Daphnia pulex: one gene and its partner. The protein of the gene in region 1 interacts with the protein of each later gene in a pairwise test. Links are inferred from orthologs where the notes say so. Each region holds a gene or a part of one and is shown on either strand. Other genes may lie near its edges.

Evidence for each region. The genes of interacting proteins can lie anywhere in the genome.
Region 2: the proteins of smoothened homolog (region 1) and serine/threonine-protein kinase fused-like interact in a two-hybrid assay, tested with the Drosophila melanogaster proteins (2 studies listed by BioGRID, with this or other methods). The link is inferred for Daphnia pulex from reciprocal best matches to the Drosophila melanogaster genes smo and fu.

Annotation. Positions count from the first base shown.
Region 1 is NC_060027.1:3,198,049-3,203,462, reverse strand, and holds the end of smoothened homolog, read right to left. Parts: coding exon 5,349-5,414; intron 5,286-5,348; coding exon 5,163-5,285; intron 5,107-5,162; coding exon 4,993-5,106; intron 4,934-4,992; coding exon 4,724-4,933; intron 4,656-4,723; coding exon 4,483-4,655; intron 4,387-4,482; coding exon 4,268-4,386; intron 4,188-4,267; coding exon 4,087-4,187; intron 4,012-4,086; coding exon 3,689-4,011; intron 2,951-3,688; coding exon 2,762-2,950; intron 2,697-2,761; coding exon 1,434-2,696; intron 1,374-1,433; coding exon 1,019-1,373; 3' UTR 633-1,018; downstream 1-632. UniProt on the Drosophila melanogaster protein: Segment polarity protein required for correct patterning of every segment. G protein-coupled receptor which associates with the patched protein (ptc) to transduce the hedgehog (hh) signal through the activation of an inhibitory G-protein.
Region 2 is NC_060025.1:6,991,857-6,997,136, forward strand, and holds the start of serine/threonine-protein kinase fused-like, read right to left. Parts: upstream 3,383-5,280; 5' UTR 2,863-3,382; coding exon 2,752-2,862; intron 2,688-2,751; coding exon 2,574-2,687; intron 2,500-2,573; coding exon 2,177-2,499; intron 2,110-2,176; coding exon 1,868-2,109; intron 1,794-1,867; coding exon 1,691-1,793; intron 1,622-1,690; coding exon 1,496-1,621; intron 1,420-1,495; coding exon 1,140-1,419; intron 1,073-1,139; coding exon 690-1,072; intron 577-689; coding exon 467-576; intron 354-466; coding exon 171-353; intron 84-170; coding exon 1-83. Other genes in the region: E3 ubiquitin-protein ligase lubel-like, read left to right, coding at 4,623-4,628, 4,808-4,973, 5,067-5,227. UniProt on the Drosophila melanogaster protein: Probable serine/threonine-protein kinase; maternally required for correct patterning in the posterior part of each embryonic metamere. May be involved in control of cell division during metamorphosis and ovarian development. May interact with costal-2.

The sequences.
Region 1 (5,414 bases):
ATAATTCCAAGCCAGAAAGCGTTCCGAGGACTGTGTAGTTGGCGAGTCCTTAGGATGACGAAAGCCACGAGTAAGTGAATTGGCAACCCCAAACTAACGGCTATCCAACGGACAATGTACAGCACTGATGAAACGGTGATCGTGAGATCCATGTCGAGCGATTCATCGTGAGACCACTGCTGATTATTCGATAGACTACTAGTATTAACCTGTAGCTCAGACATGATAGAAAGTCAATTCACATTCCCCATTCAACTGAACTTCTTGACAAACACCTCATTTAAAAAACTTCCTTTATATGAGTCCAAAATGTTCATCAGAAAACTAGTGCGCAGCTGCTACTTCATCAAAAGCAAAGGCAACGTACTTGTAGTAGAGCACGTTAACTTGACACGTGGAAAAAAAAAGTATATACCTAAATGAAATTGTCGTAGCCAAAAGGAGCGGATGCACCATTTCCGCTTCCAGCTAGCAGCAACTCAGCCGTGGTATAAATCGAATGATTTAAAAAAGCTCAGCTGAACGCGCACATTTGATTATGCCGTGAAAAAATCGGCAGCTCGAATTGTGTTCCTATTTCAAGTTACTGGGTTACACTGGGATATTCTAAAAGTAGTTTCGACAAAGTTCAATTCAAATGGCACTTACATTTTTTTTTATTGACACTATTTGCCAAGAAGAGATCCGGTTCGATAAAGTTAAAACCATCTATAAGTGGAAGAATGCATGGAATTCCAAAGTCAGAGTTTGAAAGGCAACAAAGGGACTCACATTACCTGATTGATTGATTTTTAGCTGCATATGAGATTCGTCCTCTGTTGGATTTAGATAAAAAAAAGTTACATAGAAAGTTGAGTCACATAACTTTTAAAAATAAACGGAGGTCGTTGGTAACAACGATTGTCACGTTCAGGTATATGGGGAAAGAATAAAATAAAATGTCGGAATACGGGAGAGGAAAAAGGAAATAAAGTTGAATCGTCAAGACCGAAAAGGGAGTTAAGAAAAGATTTGATCATTATGATACATCGTCATTGACAATTGTTTCTTGCTTGGAACGGGAGCGTCGACTGCCGGATTTTCTGGATCGATCAGAGCGATTCGAATTCTTGGAGCTCAGCAAGCAATCTAATTCAATTTCATTGCCGTCGTGGCGTTCAGATTGTGAGCGACGATTACGCTCAACGCGATGACGCCTGTCGTAGGAGCGTTTAGGACGTTCGTCTGAATCGATAACGGCATTGGCAGCTTCAACCGCCGCTTTGTGGTCCTCCTCTCGTAGTTTTTCAAGAAGGCGGGCGATAGACGAACGGTCCAACTCAATTGCTTCGACCCCGCGAGAGCGGGCGCTTCTGTTCCTATTGGACCTGCCACTGAAAATTTAAATGTCAACGCCAATTTTGCAAACGAATGCAAATGTGCTAAATATTTACCTGCTCTTGGAACCGTTGAGTTGTCGATCATCAGATTTCTTCTCCGATTTGATGGGCAGCAAATAATCGAGCAATGATTGCGAAGGCGAACTTAGGCCAGGCCCGCTGGCTGATATGTGATCCGATACGTCTGATGAGCTTCCATTGGGTGACCCATCGGCTTGACCTCGTTCTCTGTGGCACTTTGAGCTCGAGATGTTCGTTGGGGCCGATGTCGACGGTTTCGGCAGCGATTTACGGACGGCTTCCGGTGAAGTGGATGCCGAGGATGATGGTGACGATGAAGAAGAAGATGAAGTCACCTGTGTGCCTTTAGACACAGACTGCGTTGTTGTTTTAGCACTCTTGGTAGAAATAGGTCGAAGCGTCGATAAACTGGGCGACGTCTGTGTGGCCACGTTCCACGTCACGGCAGTTTGAGTCGACTGGGTGACAGGGACCGTAGTAACTTTGCATGATTCTCCATTATCGATGTCACTTTCGTCGCTACTTCCGTCGCCCGGCAGGTTGAGCGAGAAGCGCTCAATTCGTTCCAGATCGACTTGCGATGATTGCCGCTTGTCATTGGGTTGAACCTGGACAACAGTGCTCGCTCCAGCTGATCCAAGAGGAAGTAATTGGTTTCTACGTTTGGTAATGGCCGGCAAGATTTGCGAGCCTTTAGAACTGGCCAGTGAAGTGATACTTCCTCGGCGATTTCTCAGCGCAAGTTTAGTAATGGCTGGCAATATTTGCGACCCTTTCGAACTAGCTTGAGACGTAATACTTCCCCTGCGTCTCAGCGCCATTTTTCTTCCGCCCCGGAGCAAATTATTACGTTTACGACCTCCATGGCGGAAGTGTAGTCTAGTGAGCCGCTCCAAATCCGTCGTTTGTTGAGAATGTACCGAGTATTGTGAATCGAATGAGTGACGGCGAGACTGACTGGCTCTCGATTCGACCGAAATACGCCGGACGGCGCTCATGCTTATTTCGGAATCCAGCGAATTGCGCCGCAGTCCAAAGGCTCCAGCCGCGCCGACGATAGCGCCACGGCGTGTGACGAATTTGGGAATGGCGGCAGCCCATGCAGAACTGACGTCATTGGAAGCGGCGCTATTCAGATCAAGGTTGCCAAAACCGACTGGATCGTCGTGCGTACTGTGGATACTGATAGACATCCGGCCCATGTGATTCAGATCTCTTCGCTTGGCAAACGCCTGAGCAATGATTTTATGTTTGCGAATGCGAACGCGTTCATCCAACGGTCTCTTGTTGAAGGTCCTGGAAATAAAAACGATGTTTACATGCAAACAAGCCGACAGGGAGTAAACAAGAAGTGTGTATACCTTCGGTACCACCTCCGCCAAGCCAGGACGGAAGCCTTTGTCCAGACCCACGAAGATACGGCTACACCAGCTCCAAAGACGGCAATCAAATGAACTTGGGTGATGGTCATGCTCGGTCGAGATTCCAATTCACAGTCATCGGCAAGGCCTTGATTCTGAATGCGAGAGGTGTTTTGATTGGCCAGGCATCTGCAATGTCAAATACGAACGTTGAAAAAAACACAATGAATTTTTCTTTTAGTTAAAAAATTATTGTTTTTAAGTTTGAGGGGAAATGGTAAATTATTCAACTTGATTACTTCAAAACGGGGGCGTAAAATACCTATTTTGAAATTATGGGGCTTATAAACGTTTCGAGGTAACAAGCCTCCTACACATAAAACGACATTTATATGCTGGAACTAATTAGTTTGGGGGGGGGGGGATGAAAGCGTTTCGTGGGAAGGAAAAGATAATTATTTTTTTTGTAGTAGTACAAATTGAAAAAAGTCTGGATAAAAATAGTTTGGTTTCATAATTAATTGAATTTTTATAAGGAAAGATTGGCAGAGAAAATTCAATTTCAGTTAATGATCTGGATTTAGAAGGAAACTCTTATTAGCGTTGTTGGCGAATTTCTGCACGTGGCACAGAAACGTGCCATCTGAAAATGAATTATTAATTTATTGGATAGAAAAGCGGCTGCGCACTAGTTTTATGGGGATAAATAGACTACAAGGCCATGTTGAAATTGGGTGCGATAGCCAGGACTACCTAAAGCAAGTTTAAATTCCGTACTCATATAGACGCCATGATAAAAACCAGTATTAATACCCCATGAAAATAAGAGTGATAAGGAACGTGAAAAGCTTAGCTAATTTAACTACAAGTAAAAGTATTATGATTTAAGCGGAGATCCTTAGATACAATTTTTTAAAAATTACTTACACCATGTAGGAGCGGAAGGAAGTTTTCCACTGAGTTCGTCTATCGAATTCGTAAACATGGCAGAAAATGGACAAACCGATAGCACAGATAATAGAGGCTGAGAACGAGACGAGTCGAACGATGGTGTTGCGTAACTTGGAATTGGCGGAAGCGGAGATTGAGGCAGCGCTGCCCAGTTTGAGACGAATCAAAATAAGCAAACCGCGGTAGAGAAACACATGGCCAATGAAAAGCAAGATCATTACAGGGGCCAGAACGAAACCAGACCGCACCACTTTGCTGTTGGCCACGAAACAAATTCCATGAGGACTTTGTGCTTCGACCTGCGTTGGAAATAAATAAATATAAATCAACAAATACGTTCACACATAAATTCCTTGTTTAAAATAAAACTCAACCTGTGCTAGCGCCATGCATGTAATTGTAAGGACCAGAGGGATTGACCAGGAGACCAAGTGAAAGTAAGCAGCTTTGGAGCTGACTTTCTCACGGATTTTACCTAGAGAGATTTCAATGATGACATTCAGTTTTGTCTTCATTCTTTTTGGGGTGGCAGTTAAAAAAAATTTAAAATTCTACCCAGGGCTTGGAAGCTGACGAACCACGAATAGGCTAGCATGACAAACCAAACACAAGCAGCCATGAGAAAATAATAGATTAAGATGAATATAACAACACAAGACAGCGTTTCTCCGCCACTAAAATAAAAAAATAAATCAAACGAAATCGTGAAAGCATAAAACCAAAATTGCTACAGACATTGAAATGCGGCTTAAGCTGAGTTGGCATCATACCTTGGTTCTGATACACGAGCTGTTCCATCTTTCCGGCATATGATATCCTGTCTAGCACTGGGAATATATTGAGCAATCCAACCGATACAAGCGGCAGCGAAGCATACGTTCATGTAAAAAATAATAACGGCCGGGTAGCGTGAAGCGGAGCGCCAGTCAATCATGAACGTAAACTTCACATAGCAATCGATTGATTATTGATTCATTTATCTCCATATTCTAAACGTGTTTATTATCTTACCACAGCAAACAAATTGGTGGTGAGGCACATGGCGACCAGAGTCTGTGTGAATCGTTGGACTTGTTCATGTTCCTCCTTTGTAAACAGCGGGGAAGTGCAAGGCAGTCCGCATCCGTCAACTCCTTCAACATAAGCCAAACTATTGTCCGTTTCCACCAGAGGAGACTGGCACTTTGGAGTGATGTTGAATTTCAATTCTCTCACCTCATTCTGCAAGAGAAAAAAGTTTCGTTAGTAATAGCAAATGAATGCACATAATAATTACAAACTTTGCAGCCAGAAGGGAATTTTTCAGTGTCTTCACATCTCATAAAATCTGGCCAGCCATTCCTGTGTTCAAGTTCCACAATTCTGCAAGGATTACGAATAACCTTGCACATTTCCTGTAAGTAAAATGTCATTGAGTGATTGAACATACTTATTCTAATTTTGTATGTACCTGAGAAGGAAGTTCTACTGTTCCATTTTCACATCTTGGCATGTAGAGAGCACACAAAAAGGGTTGAATCACAGCCCAGCATTTGGGAACACTTTTCAAGTTCTGCCAAAACATGAGCTTATCCTAGAAGAAAAACAAAGGATTAGCCAAACCTGTAAAAGGACAATGCAAATCATGTTGCCAAACCTGAACATCATCCTGAGTGTGTGAATCGGTAACCAGTTCCAAAGATGTTTGTGAATATGGTAATTT
Region 2 (5,280 bases), on another chromosome or scaffold:
GAGAGACAGGTATCCTATGAGCGTACAACACCTGGACCTAATCATGGGGTTTCGATTCGACAACAAACGCACCAAATTTGTGTCTGTCATGTCGCACAAGGGTAGAAAGAGATGGTGAGATTAGCCGTTCATTTTCTTATTTTTCAAGGCAATTGTGTGAAATGTAATACCTCTTTGAGTGAGAATATCTTGGACGACGCTAACGTTCTCGGCTCGAGTGCGCAGGACGTGCGACAGGATGGCCAGAACGTGGCCGACTGCATGGGCTTTGCGACGATCGACAGACAACAGGTGATGAATGGCGGCCGCGCAATCCAGCACGCAAACAGCATCGCAGAATTGATTGATGAATTCTGTTGTGAATTCAATCGGGGGGAAAAAAAGGGAAGGAATAGAAAATTAAAATAATGATTAGCCACCCCCACTTTCGTTTCCAGTTACACAAGAGCTCGCGATGAGTGATTACCTGCGGTCGTACTCAGGTGCACCAGACGGGCCATCAAACCCAGCAGCATTTCTAAGGACTGCAGATCGTCGGCCGTCAATTCGGCGTCCGTCTTTTTACTGTCGATGCTCCTGTTTTTGGGCACAACCCAAAAAAAAAAGAAAAATAGAAAACGAAATGAAATCACATGGGAGAATGAGAAATGGAATTTAGACTGTGACAAATAAACAAAAAGAGGAGTTACCCGGTGCTACGGTTATCGCCAGATCTTCTCTGAACCATTACTTTGCAAGCGTACAAGAGATTGGGCACGACGCGGGTGTCTGCGTAGGCGCGGACGATTAATTCTTCGTCGACTGATTCCTCGCGGTCGATTCCAGCCCAAGGCAGGGCCAGCAGAGTCGCTATACGTTCGACTAGGCTCGGGCTGGCGTTGACGTTGCGTAACGGAGCCACCACAACGGCGACGAGATCCCTCTGCTCCAGCGTCTGCGGATTCTCTATGGCGTCGGCCAGCGTTCCGTCAAGAAACTCTTCCCATTCGTCGTTTTCCAGAGATTTCGACAGCAACGAACCGGCGGCGGCGGTTGCGGCGGCCGCAACTTCGCCAGTTGTCGTTTCCTTGGCCTAGAATGAATCAATCATCATTTGGTCAATCCTTTCTTCTATGATAGGACTGCACATCGATTTTTACCTCCGTTTTGGGCTCGATGGAAGGTGAAACAGTTTCTTCGACAGTCGGCTGGTTGTTTGGCGGGTTGGGCACGGCTGGCTGAATGAGGGAGAAATGATGAGCGTTGGTGCCAGGATCGAGGGGATCGAAATCGGCCACATTTTGTTTGGTCGGCCATCTGGTCGTTTCTAAAATTCTTTCCAGCAATTGCTGCCTCTCACTGATCCGTGGATCGATGGCAGGCGGTAAACGGTGGGTGTCGACGGCTGCACTTTGGCGACGCGTCCAGTCTCCAAATGCACTATTCGACCAAAATGATAAAGTTTTAAATTTAAAAAAAAACGCGACTTTTAGAAATTCTGTTTAAAGTGACGTACGGATTGTATTGGGTGCTGTGGAAGGCGGCGGCGGGATGGGCCAGCAATTGTTTGGGCTGAGAAACTGGAGCGCTATTTCGGCGTCGTTCGTACTCTTCTAATCTCTGAAGGGCTCGCGTGAAAACCCTTGTAAAAGAACAACCAATAAATTTCAGTTAAAGGATTGGATAAAATAATCAGCACGACAATGTTCACTTGTTTTTGAACGGCATCTTTTGGGAGAGATCTTGTCTTTGAATCTCTTTGGCCAGTTCCTGCGAAGCCGTCAAGGCAGTCGTTAAGGGAAGCTGAGGTCTCACTAGAGAGAAGGTAAAGAGGGAATCAGTGAAATTTGTTACCTTTACCAGAAAAGGAACATTGTATTGAACATACGTCTTTCAGGTGGGAGCAGAACTTTGTTCTCCAGGAAAGGATGCTCGAGCAAGTGAGGCCAAGTTAGCCTGCGGCGAGGATCTTTCTCCAAGAGACCTTGAAGGAGGTTGAAACAATCTGGGCTCAGATTTGTGGGCCAAGGCACGGTTTCGTAACGAATTTTTCGTATTAGTTGCAATAAAGATGTGGTGCAAAAGGGTGGCGATCCAAAAAGGAGCTCATACAAAATGCAACCTAAGGACCTGTTGTAAAAATGAAGGGTAAATCAACAAATCTTTGAAGAGACAATATCTGCAATAAAAAATGTACCATAAATCTGCATTATGATCGTATGGCTTTTCCTCTATGATTTCTGGGGCCATGTACAATGGAGTTCCTTTGACAGATGTTAGCACATAAGTGTTGAGGTCCATGGATCTTGCAAATCCAAAATCGCAAAGTTTAATGATGCCATCACTTGTCAGCAGTATATTCTGAGGTTTGATGTCACGGTGTAATATCCTGTCTGAATGAAGGTAGTAGAGAGCAGATAGCAACTGGCAAGCAACCATTCGCATTTTGTCTTCACAGAGTGTCCCATCTTCCAGTAGTTTGTACAAGTCACTTTCAACATACTCAGTGACAACAACTAGCTGGATGGAGAAATAAATCGTTAATAATCAACACACAAAACTACAACAAATAAATTGTGAAATTTCTTGATTACCTCTTTAAATGTCTCAAAGGCACCAAGCATGTGAACAATGTTTGGGTGACGCAAGCCTTTCTGGATTTCAAACTCGTGTCTCAAGCTTTGCAGCTCACATTCTGTCCTACCAATCTACAAACGCAAAGTATAGAATTTGTTACAATGAAATGGAAAGGAATTTATTTATAACACTTACTTTTGGAATAAACTTGAGAGCAACCAAACCTCTCAAGTGTCTATGTCTTGCTTTGTAAACTCTTCCAAAAGATCCTTCTCCAATTTTTTCTAATACCTCATAGTCTTCCATTTCAACGCACTTTCAACTCGGATTTATTAGATAATTTGAATGTTAAGAAACCACAATAAAGCAGTGTCACTTCTTTTACCGCTGTTAAGAAATGGATATAATTGTAGTGATCATTACGATTCTTGGATTTTAATCAGAAATGAATTGTCTATAAACAAAAGAAGCCATCTAGCGAAGCTTAGACTAACAATATTCCCATGTAAATATCTGGATCAGAGATGGCGCTGTATTTTCGAATAAGGCCAACTGGCAAGGTGATGAAAATGATTCCCGAGCCAGATAGACATGATTAAATCTGACGAAGTGGTGAACATATAACACAGGGATAACAATGATATATTTATAAGAAAATTCCATAAGAGTATAAATAACTAAACAAGCCAGTGCGCTGTGCACTGGACCAAAAAGTGCAAAAGCCGCGAAAAGCAGTAAAAGAGACAGTACGCACGCGGTATGCTACACGCCCTACGAAGGTGGAAGATATATGGGCGTGAAGAGAATTTAAAAAAAAAAAAAAAAAAAAAACACACAACAAAGACCGGTAAAACAACCGGAAATGAATGTGTTGAAAATTTACGTTATTCCCATCACCGAGATGGTACAAATCTATCGATTCCCTATTTTTTTAAAAAACATATTTTATTTAGCTACAAGAGTGTAAAGATAAGAGTAAACAAAGAATTAAATATAGAAGATGAATAATTCCGGTAGGTATTTAATCAAGATTAAACTTTTGAAATGCTTTGCATGGACAAATGAGGTGTAGCTAATGATTTGGATATCGTTGTTGATAAATATTTGGTAGCAGAATAGTCTCTGACGACGGAGGTGGCTTCCTATAACCGTGGCAATGACGCGCCGGCAGTCAGAGTTGGAAACCTTGAATGCCAAGCTATTTTTGACTTTCTTCCAGAGGAATATATAAAGTTTAAATCCGTGACGTCTGAGAGAAAGGCCAGCTGCATTCAAACACGGCACACACAATAAGCGCGAGTGTTGATTTTGTTCCTGCGAAACTACATCTCGAGAACTCGGATGGGTTTTTGATTCGGTAAATTGACAAGGAAGTATTCAGTTCATTCAACTCTAGGCAATTGAAATAGTTGCATGCTCAGGCAAAAAAACAAACTTGTTATTATTTACGATACGTTAATCTAGTAAAAACTTTATTTATTTTGTTTCATATTTTCTGATAGTTTACTGTAATCTACTGAACGATTACTAGCTATTATAGTACACCTCAGTTGATAAAACTTTTTTTTTTTTGTTTGCACGGGTGTTTACATGATGTTATTTACCATTAAAATCCCGTTGGCTACACCTTCCGAATGCCTTCCAATGAAGGCCAAATCTATTCATGCATGTCTAGATTGATTCTCACTGACGCGCTGGCGGTGTCTCACGGGGGAGAACTGCCCCGGTACAGGGAAGATACGACCAGCAGGACGAGCTCGACGATATTTTTGGGATTTTGCTTTTTGTCAGGGGGTGCCGTGTGAATCGCTGGCAGATTGCCGACAATTCCAGCGGCCCATTCCTATCCTGTTTGTCGCACTGCTTTGCTCTTTGGTGTCTATTCCGGCGGGGCGAACGGACATCATCATCGCACAGTGCGGCGTGCGGTCCGCCTTTTCCATCTCTCCGGGAGTTTATATACGATTTTTCAGTCGATTTTTGAGTGTGGGGATCGTTTTATCCGTTTCCGCAATTGGCTATCTCGTGTCGAATCTATCCCATGTCTCCTGTGAGTGTCAAATGAAATGAGGGTACGTCAACGCTATTATTTACTACTTCAGACCACCAGCATCAGTTATACTTTTGATTGCGATGCGAAACAACTAAACCAATTCTTTGCAATCAATTTTGTGTCAGTTTTTATGGGGGAAGTTGGTGTTGGTTAATTTTTTGAAATTAATTTTGTTTCTATGCTGTGGGAATTATTTAGCAAATTACGCCGGCTAGTTCCGAAAATAAATCTGCATCTGCTACCAACGACGCTGCATCTGCTGAACCACCTCCATTACCCACAACCCAACCACCGCCCTTGGAGGACGAATACGAAGACATAGAATACGGGACTGGGCATAAAGCTACGTTCTCAATTCGATTTGGTACAATTTATTTTTATTTTTGTATGCACAAAATGGTTAGCTCAAACGAAAAGCTATTAATCATCCACTTTGGTATTTTCCAACACGTTGTAGGTGGAAAAATGGAGCCGAGAAAAGGCGATGGACGTCACTGTGAACTTTGTGGATCCTCAAGTCCAAAAGTTCGGTGTGAGAAATGTCTCAACCAAATATTTTGCTTATCCTGCGATGACATGTATCATCGACACCCTAAAAGAATGAATCATTCTAGAAAAGTACTTCCATATTTTGAAAAATACCCTCAATGTTATAGATAACGAAAGAATTC